4 linked regions of the Cricetulus griseus genome follow. The protein of the gene in region 1 interacts with the protein of each later gene in a biochemical or structural test. Links are inferred from orthologs where the notes say so. Each region holds a gene or a part of one and is shown in the gene's direction. Other genes may lie near its edges. The genes, in order: Htra2, Mapk12, Csn2 and Xiap.

Region 1 (4,145 bases):
GGGACAGAACTAAAAGTGGACAGACAGGAAATGAACTGGAGCAGGTTCACCCAGGAGCTTGACACAGTCCACTAAACTGGAGTCAGAGATCTGTGCTTACCCACCTGAAACGCAGCAGCCCCTCTCTGCCATTGGTAGCCTCTTCCTCAGGGAAGAGCAGCAAAGGTGTGGGCGGAAGCCTTGTGGAAGCACAGAATTTCTTGAGTGACTCCACCAACTCCACCCGCCTATCCATCTCCATGAAGCCCCGAGACCAGCACACAAAGCTGGGGGGGCTATTGAGTAGAGGCTGAGAGCAGGGAGGAGAGAGAGCAAGGAGAGAACGGGGGGGGGGGGGGATGTCAAACAGGAAAGAAGAAAAAAGGTAACACGTGGGGTGGTGCTTATGGGGTGAGGGAAAAGATCGGTGTTCCCCAAGAGAACCCTAATGGGTAGAGGTGAGCACTGAGCTCGGGCCTGGGGAGCCACCCGGTGGCGCTCTCGGCCTCGCCCCCACTCACGGTGCTACAGGTGGTGAGCAGGTTGACTATGTTGTGGTCAAAAGGTGTGACATGGTTGGAAATAAGGACCCTGACGCGGTGATCCCGGAGTCCGGAGTCCTCCTGCCGGGCCACGAGCCCCAGCACTGCACACATGGTCCGCACCACGAACCTGGGGACACAGGCGGCAGTGACTGTGCGGTCTTGACCCAGGCCCAGCCCCGATGCTCCCGGGGCACCGCAGTCCGCACCTGCGGAGGACGCTGTCGGGCAGAGCACAGCTGACCAGGAAGACGTGGAGCCCTAGGAAGAGGCGCAGAACCAGGAGACACAGGCCGACCGGAGCGTAGAGCAGCAGCGCGAGCAGCAGGAAGCCGTCGCTCGGGAGCCTGCGGCGAGAGGCGACGCGATCAGGCGCCGAAGCCGAGAGAACGCGCTGACCGGCCTCTTCCCTCCGCAGCGCTTACCGGTGCGAGTCAAAGAGCCGCTCCGGCCCCGGAGCTGGAGGAGGTTCCATCGCAGCCGCCTCAGGAAAGCAGGGCCGGTGTCGCCGCCATCTTCGCAGGGCCGCGGGGACTCCTGGGAAGGCGGAGTCTTTGGGCATCCGCGGGGGATGCCAGAACCGGAGGTCCAGAGGCGCCCCGGAAGGGCAAGCGCTCCCAGCATGCCTTGCGGCCCCCGGGAGGCGTAAAGTCTGCGTGTATGTGTTCGCCCCGGACAACGCGTCCTGAAAGAACTACAATTCCCGGCATGCACCGGACAGATACCGGCGTGCCTCGCTTCTCCCAGTCGGCTTGCTGGGCTTCAGGGCACCGCCTCTGAGTAGGGCGGGCAAGGAGAGAGCCGAGGCGGAGCTGATGGCTGCGCTGAAGGCGGGGCGGGGTGCAGGCTGGAGCCTTCGGGCTTGGCGGGCTTTGGGGGGCATCTTCTGGGGGAAGGGCCCCCTTTTTACCCCTGACCTTCAGGCTCTGCTGACGTTAGGAAGTCCCGACCCTCTCCCGGCCCGGGTGCCTGTGGGGGTCCTTGCATCACGGGCATGTCTGACGTCTGGGACCCCAGATCTCTGGGCACGGCTGGCCGTGGGGACTGCAGGCTCCAGTGCCCAGGAGGCCCGCAGGAGCCCCGGCCCCCGTCGGCGCGAATGGCTGGCGGTGGCGGTGGGCGCAGGGGGAGCAATGTTGCTGCTGTTGTGGGGCTGGGGGCGGGGTCCTCCCGCGGTGCTGGCCGCTGTCCCCGCTCCGCCGCCCAGCTCTCCCCGGAGCCAGTACAATTTCATCGCAGATGTGGTGGAGAAGACAGCCCCAGCCGTGGTCTATATCGAAATCCTGGATCGGTAATGGTGAAGTTGACCGGGAGGTGTTGAAACCAACTGCCCTAAGGCAAGTGAGCAGGATGGGGTGGAAAGCAGAAGTGTAACCGGTGCTTTCCCCCATCCCAGGCACCCTTTCTCAGGCCGCGAAGTCCCCATCTCAAACGGCTCAGGATTCGTAGTGGCTTCAGATGGGCTCATCGTTACCAACGCCCACGTGGTGGCTGACCGGCGCCGAGTGCGAGTGCGGCTGCCTAGTGGAGACACATACGAGGCCGTGGTTACAGCTGTGGATCCTGTAGCGGACATTGCCACGTTGAGGATTCAGACCAAGGTGGGAATGGAGTAGGCCGGATCTGATGGCAGCTGTTTACTTGCTCCCGTCTTAAAATGACCAGTTTTGGCGTACTCGTTTCCCTTAAGGAGCCTCTTCCCACACTGCCCCTCGGCCGCTCTGCTGATGTCCGGCAAGGGGAGTTTGTTGTTGCCATGGGAAGTCCCTTTGCACTGCAGAACACGATCACATCTGGTATTGTCAGCTCTGCTCAGCGTCCAGCCAGGGACCTCGGACTCCCTCAAAACAACGTGGAATACATTCAGACCGATGCAGCTATTGATGTGCGTCCTGATATGAGAGAAGTTTGGAGCTGGGTGGGAGCTGGGGAGAATGGCTGTCTGTCTGGTGTGTGCACCAACTCCAATGTAGCTGGGCCTATATTAGACGTTGGACTGCAAAATGCAGCCACTCTAGTTCATGGGCTGGGAACAGAATCTGAAGAATTTCCCTATACCCTGGTTATGCCTACAGTGAGAGAATTCCCAGAGGCATAGAATTCCAGATCTCTTTGATGTTTTCTTTCATCTTATCCCACAGTTTGGAAATTCTGGAGGCCCCCTAGTTAACCTGGTGAGTGCCATGCTCTTCTAAGAATCCATACGCCAGGTCAGTGTGGGAAGGTTGGGTGTTTCTAACATTCAAGGACTTTTAGTTAAGTTTCTGTAGTTTCTTGTTTATCTCCTCGTATCCAATCAGACCCCTGCCCCCAAATCTTTGCTACTCTGCCATCTGTGTGGGCTAGGGGACAGAGGGCTGTGTCCCTGCAGGATGGGGAGGTGATTGGAGTGAACACCATGAAGGTGACAGCTGGAATCTCCTTTGCCATCCCTTCTGATCGCCTTAGGGAGTTTCTGCACCGCGGGGAGAAGAAAAGTGAGCCTTTCTTACTTATGATGGGACATAGGGGAGGGGCGGTTCATTGGGACTTGCTGGAGAGGGCTTTACTGGCAGGAGGTAAGGGAAAGAAGGATGTAGCTGGGTGGGCTCATTTGCCCTCTTTTTACAGATTCCTGGTTTGGAATCAGTGGGTCCCAGCGCCGCTACATTGGAGTGATGATGCTGACTCTGACTCCCAGGTATATTAGGGATCATGATATGTAGGACCACAAGTGTGTCTGTGCCTTACAGGTGGATTCTGTTATGGGTTTTGTTTTCATGTCTGTCTATCTACGGTGAGTTGTTGTCACAAGAGCTGTTCCCTCTCATCATAACTTTTTCATCCTATTGCATCTTGTACCTTTTTACTAGATTGATTGCGTCATGTTACTGCTGTGATTTAGAGACTTCATTGATCTAGCATTAAAAGAGCTATTTCTATTTCCAACTCTCTCTGATTACCTTGAAGACTTGCCTTGTTGCTTCTTCTGGATTACTTTGATTTTCCATACCTGTGTGTTGTCCCCCCCCCTCCTCCCCACCCCTGTCCCCCTGCCACCCCCAGGATAGGGTTTCTCTGTGAAGCCTTAGCTGTCTTGAAATTTGCTCTGTAGACCAGGCTGGACTTGAAATCACAGAGATCTGCCTGCCTCTGTCTCCTGAGTGTTGGGATTAAAGCCCACCACCACCCAGCTCACTTCTATGTCTTAATACCTTCTTATTTCATATGGTTAATAGGACCCATCCTTTTAGGCTCAGCTTAAGTTCTACCCCTTCCTTAAAGTAGAATGACAGACATGTAGTTTAACACTGTATCATTTGGAATTAGCTATCTTTCATGTGTTTTTCCCACTTCCTAAGCGCTAGAAGGCCAAAAAAGTGAACTGTCAGGATGAGAGAGGGCCTGGGTATACCTAACAGGGTGGTCTGTGCCCTTTCAGCATCCTTGTTGAACTACAGCTCCGAGAACCAAGCTTCCCTGATGTTCAGCATGGTGTCCTCATCCATAAAGTTATCCTGGGCTCCCCTGCACACAGGTGATGGAAAGCCTGCTCTGTGAGGTGGGGTGGAATGGGGTGCATGTATCCTTGAACGCAGCTGTGTACTCCTTCCTTGCCATGTTCATCCTCCACAGGGCTGGTCT
Region 2 (4,195 bases), on another chromosome or scaffold:
GTCCCCTACAGAGGGAGGGGACTGGGGAGATTTTGGAAGAATATTGGTGGGTGGCCAGAGGCATGAAGGGCATTAAGGACACAGGATACAGGCAGATGTGGCTTGAGTGGCCTGGCTTCCCCTGCTCACTCGTGGTTGCTTGTGAATGTGCCACTAGCAGCAGCCCAGGCGCAAAGCTGCCCTGGCTGGCCTTGAGCTGCTGATTCATGGCAGCAGGCAGGCAGGCAGGCACGGAGGGAGGGGAAGAGCCTTCTGGGGGATCTTGTTACTACTCATCAACCCAGTGGGATCCTGGAATGGCCTTTGATCGCTAGGCTGTGGGAAGGATGGTGGCTTTACCCTCTGGGAGCATCTGGTTCAGGTCTAGGACAGACCCCAGAGAGAAAGCTCACATGGAAGCATCAGGCTGAAAGTTCACATAGAAGCCCCTCTTTTTCCTGGGAGCAGGCATGCCTTTAGCTCATTCCGGGCTTTGAAGGCTAAGCTGGATAACAGGTGGAATAGATAGAGGGGCCACTCCTAGTCTTTGCTTGAAGCAGGCACTCCATATACCAGGTAGGGGCCAAGGCTGGGAACAGAGGTGTAGAGGCCCTAGAAAGGTCTGTATGACCAATACCTCTGGTTCCTAGATTAGGAAACTGAGAGCTAGTGGCCACAATGGGGTTGGGTACGCAACCTGAGATGTCTGGGACACAGAACCAAATACTTCCTTCATAGAAGAGATGAATGGATCAGCTCCAGGGGCGGGGCATCCTTGGGAAAGAAGAGTTGACCAGGAACAGAAAAACAATTGGGATGGGGTGTGATTGGTAAATGGCAGGTGGACCTGACCTGGGGATGGAGTAAAAGTTGGTGAGCTCAAGTTGCCTAGAATGGGCCCGGCGTTCTGGAAGGACAGGAAAGGTTGGAATCCAGAGAAGCACCTGCTAAGAGCCCAGGGCCGAGATGTCTAGTGAGGATAGAGGGATAGAGGCCATCCAGGGTGTTTCAGCGCCACCTCCCGCCCCAGGTCGCGAGAGAGCTATGGGGCAGTTCCCCCTCTCCCCCGCCCTCCCTTCCCAAGCCTTCCGCCCAACCCCAGAGGCCTCCTCGGGTTTCCGCAGGGGCCGGAGGGCAGACGGGGGTGTCACGTGCTCAGGGCTCGGGGGCCCGGTTGGTCAGTGGGCCGGGAGGAACCACTTCGCTGGCCAGAGACAAGGGCCGGGTGGGTGTTGGCGGTTACAGAGAGTTCAGGGTGACGACCCCAAGAGAAGAGCCCGCAAGGGAAAGCCCCGAAGGCGGGCGGGCGGGCAGTGAGGAGCCCGCCCTCCACGCAGTGACCCGGGGCGCACGGGCTGAGCCCCTGATCTTGGGTCGGGTCCTGGGGCGCGGTGCTCCAGTCGGGGATGAGCTCCCCGCCACCCGCCCGCAAGGGCTTTTATCGCCAGGAGGTGACCAAAACGGCCTGGGAGGTGCGCGCCGTGTACCAGGACCTGCAGCCCGTTGGCTCTGGTGCCTATGGTGCAGTGTGGTGAGCGTTCGCCGGGCGGGGCAGCAGGCAGGGCAGGCGGCGGCTGGCGATTACGGGGCGGGTTCTCTAGCCAAGCTGTCCGCCCCGCAGCTCTGCAATAGACAGTCGCACTGGTAACAAGGTGGCCATCAAGAAGTTGTACCGGCCCTTCCAGTCGGAGCTGTTTGCCAAGCGCGCCTACAGAGAGCTGCGCCTCCTCAAACATATGCGCCACGAGAACGTGAGTCCAACGCCCGCCCCAGATGCGGACATTGTGCACTGGCCACTTCTCATCCTGCCCTCCCCTGCAATCCTGTCCACTACCTCTGCTTCCTGAAGCCTGGTACCTAGTTAGCCTCCAGCTTGAAAAAGCTATTAGCAGCTTCCAGGAGGGAAGTGGAGACAGATTCCAGACCCCTTTCTGAGCGACACTGCAAGTTCATGCCCGGCTTCAGTGGCTTGGTTTCATCTTCCGTCCACCTCTACTTTCTCGGCCCAGGCAGTGGTCAGGGTATGTTCTAGTCCTAAGGGCTCCTCAAGTCTTACTCCAAACCCTGTCTCCATTCAGGTTGGTGGGAAGAGGATTTTCCTGGAAGGGGCGTCTCTTCCCCACCCTAGGCCTTCTCTTGCCCACTTCCAGCCAGGCAGGTCACTAGAATTATGCACCCTGGCTCTATCACCCCAAAGCCTCCAGTCTCTATGGATACGGGGTTTAAGGAGAAGAGCAGGGTTTAAGGAACAGAGAGTTACAGTCACCACTGTGGGTGTGTATTTCTTCTGTCAGCATCGCATTTCCGATTTCACCTGCCCATAGTAGGATACTGCACATGGCTGCCCTTGTGCCTCTCATATCAGCCTTGCTAGCCATCAGAATCCTCTCAGCTGGGGGCTTTGTCTTCATATGGTTCTTCCTGAGGCTGTGAGTTCCATTCCCCCTCACTTGACATCTGGGGAGTTGCACTAGTCCTGAAGTATGTTTTAATCTCCTGGGTCATCAGAGTCAGTAACCCCATGGAACAATGATCTCCCTGTGTCTAACAGCAAACTTGCTTCGTCATTGCCACTCTTGGTTGATGTGTTGGACCTTTATTTCTTTTCTTCATGAAGCCTGATTAAGATGGACGTCAGCCCTGCTTTGTCTGCCTCCCCACTTCCCCATAAATCTGTAAACAGTTATAAAAAACAAAACAATCAAACAACTTGGGAGGCAGAGGCAGGTGGATCTCTGTGATTTCAAGGCCAGCCTGGTCTACAGAGTGAGTTCCAGGATAGCTAAGGCTACACAGAGAAACCCTGTCTTGAAAAACCAAAACAGACAAAACAGTAAAAGGCTTTGTTCTCATGGGTGTAGCCACCCCTATCCTCAAGCCCAATCCCACCTAGCCACCTACTTATCCCGAACCTTTCTCCAGCCAAGGGTTGTGGGCTTCTTCATTCACTCCCCACTCCTGAGTGAGTCTGTGGGTCAACCCATAACCCTTGCCTGGGTGTGCTAGCTTTCAGGATTCCTCAGCACCTTCTGGGAAGCTGCCATTGTATCTCCCTTCTCGTGTGGAAACTGAGGTTTGGACAGGCTGTATGCTCTACTTACCAGAAATGGGGCTGCCACAGATCCAGCTCTAGTCTTCTTCCCTTTCTCCTCAAGCTCTGGTCCTTGGCTCTGGGTCACATCTAAACCACAAAAGTGCAGAAGTCTTATGCCTTTGGTGGACTTACCTTGACCTCTAGGACCCTATTCCTTATATATTCTACTAAGCTCTCAGGTCACATCTGTGGTTTATCTGCCCCCAAGCCTTTCCTGTCCATGTTCTTACTCCCAACTTTGGCCATGCCTAAAGTGATCACTCAGCTGCCCTCTACCTCCTGTCTATTCTTGCCTCATTCTATTTGTCCTTTCACTGAAATCCAGAGTATATACCTATCTTTTTTTTTTTTTTTTCACTCTTTGGTTTTTTGAGACAGGGTTTCCTCTGTGTAACAACTCTGGTTGTCTTGGAACTCACTCTGTAGATCAGGCTGGCCTCAAATGCACAGAGATCCACCTGCCTCTGCCTCCTGAGTGCTGGGATTACAGGTGTGTGTCACCACTGCTCAGCCTCAGCATTTTATCTTTGTTTCCTTCCATAGCAGCTCTGTGGAGCAAAGCCAAATCTTCCTCTGGGATGTGAGTTTGAGGCCTTCTTTTGGCTCCTTCTGCCTTCTCCTTGGTTCTGTATTGGCCTGGGCTTTAGCTATTTGGACTTCTTCTCTGTTCCTTACTCTGAAGGTGTTTTCTGTCCTACTTTGGCCATCAGGCACCCTGCCTCTCTTTGTTCTTTCACTCGTCCCTCCTGATAGTTGGGTATGCAGCACTCATCAGGGAGGCCTCTCTTGACCCCAGAGTTCCGGTCCCCCTCCCAAGTACTGGGAAACTGATGTCACATTGTCCATCTGTTGTCCAACTCCCACAACCAGAAGCTGTGTTTAAATTGGTGCTTCTCCTTGGCCTAGATAGCCAGGGGATGGCCCCGGGAAGAACCTACTAGGTATTTGTTCCTCCCAAGGGACTGTCCCCACTTTGGTCTTGGGTCTGCTTCATTGAGGAGGAGTAAAAGGGGGGGGGGACTAAGGGGTTGGATTGCTCAGAAGCCTGGAGTCAACCTAGACTTGAGACTGCACCTCCCCCCAGAGTATCCCGGCTGTCAGCATCTAAAAATAGATTGTGTC
Region 3 (4,002 bases), on another chromosome or scaffold:
TAGATATTTAAGAAGTAATGAGATTATTTTAAAAGCAAGGCTTAAAATATAGAAATGTCTAGAAAGATTTGGTAAAAATTACAATGGCTATTGGCTTTATGAAAACAAGAACATGTAACAATAAATACAAGGCCAGTGAATGGTATAAAGAAGAGACTAAGGATTGACTTCTTTAATAAGCTATCTTATTTGATTTGCTGTTCTTTAGTAATAAAATGTACTCAAATTATATCATGGAAAGATTGATATTTCTTGGGCAACAATTAGAAGCAACAAATTACATGTTTTGTACACAAGAAGATTACAACCGTAAAACTTGTCCAGAGTCTTGGAATTCTTGATCTAGCTCATAATGTTTTACATGTGAGATATTAACAATTGTAAAAATAGAGACAAAGTCTTCTGTTTGTAAAATAATTGTAGGAAGATTAGATATTACTTTGAAACCATGATTATGGAAATAAGATGAGTTGAAAGAAAAGTGGCTTATAGTGTGCCAGGTAAAAACAAAGTTCCAGTTTAAAGATGGATACATAAAATGGTAAGGATAAAATATAAGAATTGCAGTGGGATTCTCCCTACATGCATAATCTACAAGGGTACAAATTTCTTTTAAACTAAGACAATTAAATTATATGGAAACCCATGGAGGAGTCTTTAGACAAGGAAAGGTTCTTAATGAATTATGCAGCATCCATCCAAAAAACCCAAACCAGCTTTTTACTAATGGAATAATTTTCCACCGTCAAGTATTGGAAAGAATGCTTTGTAAACATATCTAAATTTTTATTTTTCATGCTGAGATCACTCACCAGCAACACAACAGTTTATGCACAGTCTATTATTTCACTCTAGAAGTGAGGCTCCCTAGTGCTGATGTCTTCATAATCTGGAAATGCTGAATAGTTTTTTCATTAAAAGGGTTCCATAGTCATGACTTCTTCATAGTTTTGTAAGGCGCCCATACTCCCATTAACAATAGAGTGCTAACAAAGAAGAAAGGAAGAGAGCTGTGAGCAGAAAATACTGCTGGTAGCTGCTGAAGTCTGAATTTGATGTTAGACATAGGATATTTAGGAGCCAGAGTAGATTTTAATTGACTCATCCCTTACAACTCGTTCATCTTTTCATTCACAGGACCTGACAGCCATGAAGGTCTTCATACTTTCCTGCCTTGTGGCACTTGCTCTTGCTAGTGAGGTGGGTAAAGAAGCTTCCTATGTAATTAAGATGTAGTGAACGGTCCTCTCACTTGTAGACAGTAACAGTAGTGATGGCTCAGTGTGTAATTAATGGAGAGCTTCAGATCTGTTTATTTAATCAATGCTTCTTTGAGAGTCACAAAGTTTTGTTGTCCCAAAGTTCCTATAGGCTCTCAAAACTGGAACAAATGCTTATTGTGTTATTGGACCACCAGTTCCAAATGAAAAGTAAAACAGACAAGAAGTAAAACAAGAAAATAGAAATACATCAAGTAAATATAACTCCACAGAAGTAGACTCACACACGTGGCTTCAGTATCTCATTCTGGTGATAAAGTGCATGCATTTCTTTGATAATCAGGTCAAGTCTTACTGTGTCTGCCCAAAGGGAAATTCAGAGGAAGGAACATATTCAAGAATTGTGGTAGACTTGTAGGCATAATAAAAAAATGCCTAGTAGAAATTAAAGTAACTTCTTTTTTCCTCACTCATCAAAAATTCCCCAAGTTCATCCAATGTAGGAATGTGCCAATAAAAATTATTAAATTATTAGAGAGAGTAAATGTGTTTTCAAGATTCTAAAAGGCTTATAACTTTTTTGGTTTTTAAGTTTCTGAAAGAGGTAGATGACATAAAAATGAAATAGGAAGGATATTTAGTAGCAAGGTAGATTTTGTCACTAATAAGTACTTTTATTTCTTTTTACAAAAGGAATCACTCAGCATATCCTCTGAGGTAAGAGGTTTTATTGAGAAAAAATTTTAATCCTAAAATAACTATATTTTTAATGATCTGGAAGTCCTAATTGGATCTATAAATTAACACATTTGTATTACTAATGTTTTTGCATACTGAGAGCATTTCCAGCAGTGAGGGAAAGCAATTCTGTCTCAGAGGCAACTTGTAGACTTAGAACACCAAAGTGCTTCTTTTCTGTTGAGTTACATTGTGTTAGCCACACTATAACATATTCCTGTTTGGTAAATATGCTGTGCATTGTATTGGGAAGAAAAATATCTAGATAGCTGCATAATTAGAATTTTCCAAGTTAGTTTCTTATTTGAAATTTTTAACTGCCTCTTCTACACCTTTTTATTTGAGAAGCTCACAATCGTATTCTCTGCCAAGAGCTCTCCCTAATTTGACATGCATTTTTATTATTACTATGTGCTTTTTATGGATTGCTCATTGGCTAGTAGCTACAGTCCAAACTAAAGACAGATACCAATAGAAATACATACATGTGCTATACTGGGTAGGCCTGTTTGCAAAAGGATGCATTTGGTTATTAAAGTTGTCATTAGGTAAATAAAAAAGTAAGATGCAATATAGTCCTAAATGTACCTGAGTGTATCAAATAGATACACTCAGTCTTTACCTTGAACTATTTATTTGTATGTGTTATCATTTGTTTATTAGTGAATACAATTATATACATTTCTTTTCAGAATTCTACAAATGCTCAGAGGAAGTGTTTGTTTCTCATAGTTTATTTGGAGGCTAGTATATTAGCAAGTACTATAATAAGTACTCTTAGCTGTCATTAGACTGTATTTTCAACTCTGTTTCTGTGTTTGGTTTTAAGAATTAAATGGGATTTAAAGATCATTTGTAGCCAGAGAAAGAACTATGGTTGTAAAGGGAATTAACATTGCTTAGATGTCTCTTTATATACTGTGCTCACTCATTCACTTTTCTCTCTTGATGACACTCATCTTTCTTGTATACAATAGGCTTATACAAAATGTTTTAGATAGTTTAAATATAAGATTTCATCAATTTTCCTATTAGTAACCTATTAAAATAGCTTACCAGATACCTTAATTTTAATACCCATTGAAAATACTATTTACTCAGTAAAAATTAATTATTTTTTTTATTTTTCTGAAGGAATCTTCTGAAAGCATCAGTAAGGTAAACCCATTATATTTAATATCCATGATTTATTCATGAAGATAAAAGTTTTGAGATTTTTAATGTACACTTTGTTTCTAACAGAAACTTCAGATGGTTGGACAAATGGAACAGCTGCAAGCAAGGGTAAATTGCTCTTGAAGAGTTTATGTCTTGGTTTTGTGATGTGTAATGAATGCCAGAAAATAATTATAGCATGTATGTTCATAGCAAACAGTGGTCATATACCACCAGTGCTATGAAAGCATACTCAAGTGTCAATGTATTTTCTAAATCATGATTGCAGTTACTAGTGGTATTATCTGTTCTTAATAATTAACATAAGCATTTCCCCAGTAGAAACAATGTCCTTTTTATTTTCTAAATGAATATGATGATGAAAGGACACATTGAGAATGTGGCAGAAATCCTATACTGAACACCTGCCAGAAGAATAATATTGCTTATTAGTCTCTTTATAGTTCATTTTCTTCACCTGTAAGCTGAACACAATCTTAATTTTTTTCCATGAATGCAATTAATTGGCCTTTAGTAGAGTTAATGGTTTTAATTCACATTTGGTTTATGAAAACATTTGTACTTTATGTTTACCTAGTCTTAAGGGCATTTCTAGTTCAAAGATAAGTGGAGTGAGATATGGAACAACTGATTGGACCACTGCTTAAGCTGTATAGTAGAAGAGGTTGCCTTCAAATCAATGCTTTTCTGAATAGTGTCAAGTTCCACTATTAAATCACACTTACATAATAGTTGAACTTTGATAGTTTGTTTTCCTCAGTAAATTGCTTGTTGCTCACATTTTTCAAGTCAAATTAAAATTTTAAAAATTGATACATCTTGAAAAGTTTAAGAAAACTATTTTTTCAAAGAGAAACCTTTCTATAAG
Region 4 (3,563 bases), on another chromosome or scaffold:
TAGAACTAGGGTTGTGTTTCAGTGATGGTATGTTTATCTAGTATATAAAAGTTCAGTTCCAGCCCACAAAAACAAAGGTTCTATAATATTTCTAGAGAATGTTTGGTGTTTAAACATCCTTAAAATGCACACTTTTCTTTATATGACTAATGAGATTCTTGCTCTGGGATTGGATTAATATTTGTAAGTTAAAATATAACTCAAACAGCAAAATCTAACTTGATAAATTATAAAATGTAGCATCTTTTTAGTGTATTCACCAGGTTGTACAACCATCACTATTTAATGTCATCACGTCAGAAAGAAACCTTATACACATCCATCAGCAGTCATTCTCCATTTTCCTACTGCTGGCCCTGACAAATACTGGTTTTGGACATTTAATATATGTGGAGTCATCTATGTAGCCTCAGGAGTCTATATTGTTTCATGTATGAGTGCATCAATCTTTATTGTTTTGCAACGGGGTCTAGTGCATCCTAGGCTGGCCTTGAATTTGGTAGATAGCTGCATATGACCTCGAACTCCTAGTCCTTCTAGTTTGTCATAGACCTGCACTACCATACTAGGTTAATGTTTTGCTGGGGTTTAAACACCAGGGCTGCAAGTATACTAGGCAAGTACTCTTCCAACAGCCCTTTCCTCATCCCCTGGTTACTTTTCTTACCTGTTTTACCTATCTTGCATTTTTCTTTACAAGTTTGGGAATCAGAGCCACAACAACACAACACACAAAATAGGCAAACACTCTACCACTAAACTACTCCTCAGCCATATCATAGTCTTACAGCCCTAAACTGTTTTACTGTTTAGTCATGTTAATGAAAATACTTGTGTCTGCTATGTTCTTTCTCCACCCAACTTTGATTTCAGATGATACCATCTTCCAGAATCCTATGGTACAAGAAGCTATACGAATGGGATTCAGTTTCAGGGACATTAAGAAAACAATGGAAGAAAAGATCCAAACATCTGGGAGCAGCTATCTGTCCCTTGAGGTTCTGATTGCAGATCTAGTGAGTGCTCAGAAAGATAATACACAGGATGAGTCAAGTCAGACTTCATTGCAGAAAGGTATGCATTGTTTTTTTAAACAAAGATAACTTTGCAGCCCATTCATTTCCTTTTTCTAATACCCCTTGGCATAAATATTTTTACTCTTATTACGATAAATTTCAAACATACACAGAAGTAGAAAGAACAGTGAATCAGCTTCAATAATAAGCAACTCTTTCCCATCTTGATTCTGATCTTCTATCTTTCTGGCCTTAGCACTTCAAAGGAAATATAAGGCATCCTGTGTATCAGCATCTACGAATACTTTGATATACTCAACATAGAAGGCTATTTTTTCATTATGCCCTCAGTGCTGTGTTTCTTGGGCTATTATAACAAAATTCCATAAAACATGTACCTTAAACAAAATGCATTTGTTTCTCAAAGACTGAGAAGGCCAAAATCTAGGTCTTCCTGCAGATAGTTGCCTTCCCAAAGTAGTGTGTATAACCTCTCAGGTCTTTCTTCTTTACTTACAAGAATGCTAATTCTCCCAGGAGTTCTCATGCTCATGACTTTATATAAACCTAATTGTATTCGAGCATTGCTTAACAATGAAGATACATTGTGAGAAATGCATTGTTAAACAATCTCATAGTTGAATGAATGTCATCAAATATACTTATACAAACATAGATGGCATATGTCAACCACTTGATCTGGGTTCTTGATGCAATCCTGCTACTTTGTGAACATGATATGTTCCATGAGGCTTCTGCTGACATGATATGGCATATTGTTTCATGGTAGTTTTATTTATATGAAGGAGTATATTCTCATAAAAAGTATGTAAGGAAGTATATAAACCATTAACTGTATGCTGTGCTTTCGTCTGACTAGCAACTCAGGAGGTTGGTTAATGCCAGCATCATCACAAACATGAGTCATTATGCCATAGCATTAGTCTGGCTGAAACATTACTACATGATAGGATTTTTTCAGTTCACTTGTGATCTTCTGGAACAAATACATGTTTTCTGGTTTACCCAAGCATTGTTCAATAGCTCATTACTATACTTCCTAAAGCCCTTCCTCTGAACATCACTATGTGGAACATTAAAGCTGCAACATATGAATGTTAGGAACACAAACATTCAGTCCATATCACACTGTTATCACACTTGACAAATGTAATTCACTAAATCATCAGAAACCTAGTTGGTTTTAATACCCCTCCTTTTTTTAGTGCTGTATGTTTGGCTCAGGACCTGATTACATGTTAAGCAAGTACTCTACCAATGAGCCACACCCCTCATTTCTCCAGTTTTGTTTTGTTTTGTTTTAGTTTTTTTTGTTTTTCGAGACAGGGTTTCTCTGTGGCTTTGGAGGCTGTTCTGGAACTAGCTCTTGTAGACCAGGCTGGTCTCGAACTCACAGAGATCTGCCTGCCTCTGCCTCCCGAGTGCTGGGATTAAAGGCGTGTGCCACCACTGCCCGGCCTTCTCCAGTTTCTTAAAACATTTCTATACTTGATCCGTTTTTAAATGCCTCAATTACATGTGGGTGGGTGGGTGGGTGGGTGGGTGGATGGATGGATGGATGATGGATGGATGGATAGATAGGTTGGTTTCTGGGTGTTGTCATACATGTACATATGTACTTACAGTTACCCCCATTCCTTCCACTAATGCCCTTCTAATTCCTTCCCCCCACCCATTGTGACCCAATGATTGATTGATATATATATAATTTATTTGTATGTGTGTATGCTCGTATATGTAAAGGCCAGAAGTTAACCTCAGGCGTTATTCCTTGGGTGCCACCTTGTTTTTTAATGGATAATCTTTCAGTATCTGTAAGTTTAAATAAAATGTCTTCGATAACCATTAACTGTGTATGAATTCTTAGGGAAGAGTGAGGCTCTATGAGCTTCTCCCCTTTACATGACAGGTTGTTTGTTGGCCTAATCTTGGAAGATCTGGTACAGGAATCACACTTTAATTATTTTTTTTTGAGATAGTGTTTCTAACACAGCCTGGTTTTGAACTACTTAATAGATGAGGATGACCTTGAATTTCTGTTCCTCCTACCACTGCCTCCCAAGTTCTGGGATTACAGGCATGCAACATTATACCTAGTTTATGGGTTGTTTGGGATTGAACCTAGGACCTTGTGTATACTAGACAATTATCCCCAGCCTTGATTTTAAAAGTATGAGTATTTCTTTTGATTGTTTGAGATGGGATCTTGCTCTGCTGGAACTCACTTTGTAGACCATGCTGACCTCAAACTCAGAGAGCTACCTGCTTCTGTTTCCCAAGTGTTGAGGTTCTAACCCAAACACTACTGTTGTTTGGGTTAGAATATTTTAGACAAAGAACAACAGAGGCTTTTACTGTTGTGGGTAAAATCTAAGTTTTGTAACTGAAACAGTTTGGTTTTAAGTGTTCTTCAGCTGTTCATATATGAAAACAAGAGAGGGTTTTACTGTTAAGTAGGCTTTGAATTAAAATACTTCCTAATACTCTATATTTTGTAGAGAAAGCCAGTGATCCACATTTATAATC

Evidence for each region.
Region 2: of the proteins of Htra2 (region 1) and Mapk12, one has a biochemical effect on the other in vitro, tested with the Homo sapiens proteins (2 studies listed by BioGRID and IntAct, with this or other methods). The link is inferred for Cricetulus griseus from reciprocal best matches to the Homo sapiens genes HTRA2 and MAPK12.
Region 3: of the proteins of Htra2 (region 1) and Csn2, one has a biochemical effect on the other in vitro, tested with the Homo sapiens proteins (2 studies listed by BioGRID). The link is inferred for Cricetulus griseus from reciprocal best matches to the Homo sapiens genes HTRA2 and CSN2.
Region 4: the proteins of Htra2 (region 1) and Xiap form a complex in vitro, tested with the Homo sapiens proteins (10 studies listed by BioGRID and IntAct, with this or other methods). The link is inferred for Cricetulus griseus from reciprocal best matches to the Homo sapiens genes HTRA2 and XIAP.

What each region holds. Positions count from the first base shown.
Region 1 is NC_048601.1:74,225,777-74,229,921, reverse strand, and holds the start of Htra2 (serine protease HTRA2, mitochondrial), read left to right. Parts: upstream 1-1,297; 5' UTR 1,298-1,336; coding exon 1,337-1,812; intron 1,813-1,917; coding exon 1,918-2,122; intron 2,123-2,211; coding exon 2,212-2,406; intron 2,407-2,662; coding exon 2,663-2,695; intron 2,696-2,892; coding exon 2,893-2,998; intron 2,999-3,131; coding exon 3,132-3,201; intron 3,202-3,942; coding exon 3,943-4,038; intron 4,039-4,136; coding exon 4,137-4,145. Other genes in the region: Aup1 (ancient ubiquitous protein 1), read right to left, coding at 105-289, 501-651, 731-868, 947-1,083.
Region 2 is NC_048595.1:385,892,177-385,896,371, reverse strand, and holds the start of Mapk12 (mitogen-activated protein kinase 12), read left to right. Parts: upstream 1-1,385; coding exon 1,386-1,510; intron 1,511-1,600; coding exon 1,601-1,730; intron 1,731-4,195. UniProt on the Homo sapiens protein: Serine/threonine kinase which acts as an essential component of the MAP kinase signal transduction pathway.
Region 3 is NW_023276807.1:152,937,157-152,941,158, reverse strand, and holds the start of Csn2 (beta-casein), read left to right. Parts: upstream 1-1,149; coding exon 1,150-1,221; intron 1,222-1,913; coding exon 1,914-1,937; intron 1,938-3,092; coding exon 3,093-3,116; intron 3,117-3,200; coding exon 3,201-3,242; intron 3,243-4,002. UniProt on the Homo sapiens protein: Important role in determination of the surface properties of the casein micelles.
Region 4 is NC_048604.1:25,903,421-25,906,983, reverse strand, and holds part of Xiap (baculoviral IAP repeat-containing protein 4), read left to right. Parts: intron 1-873; coding exon 874-1,074; intron 1,075-3,563.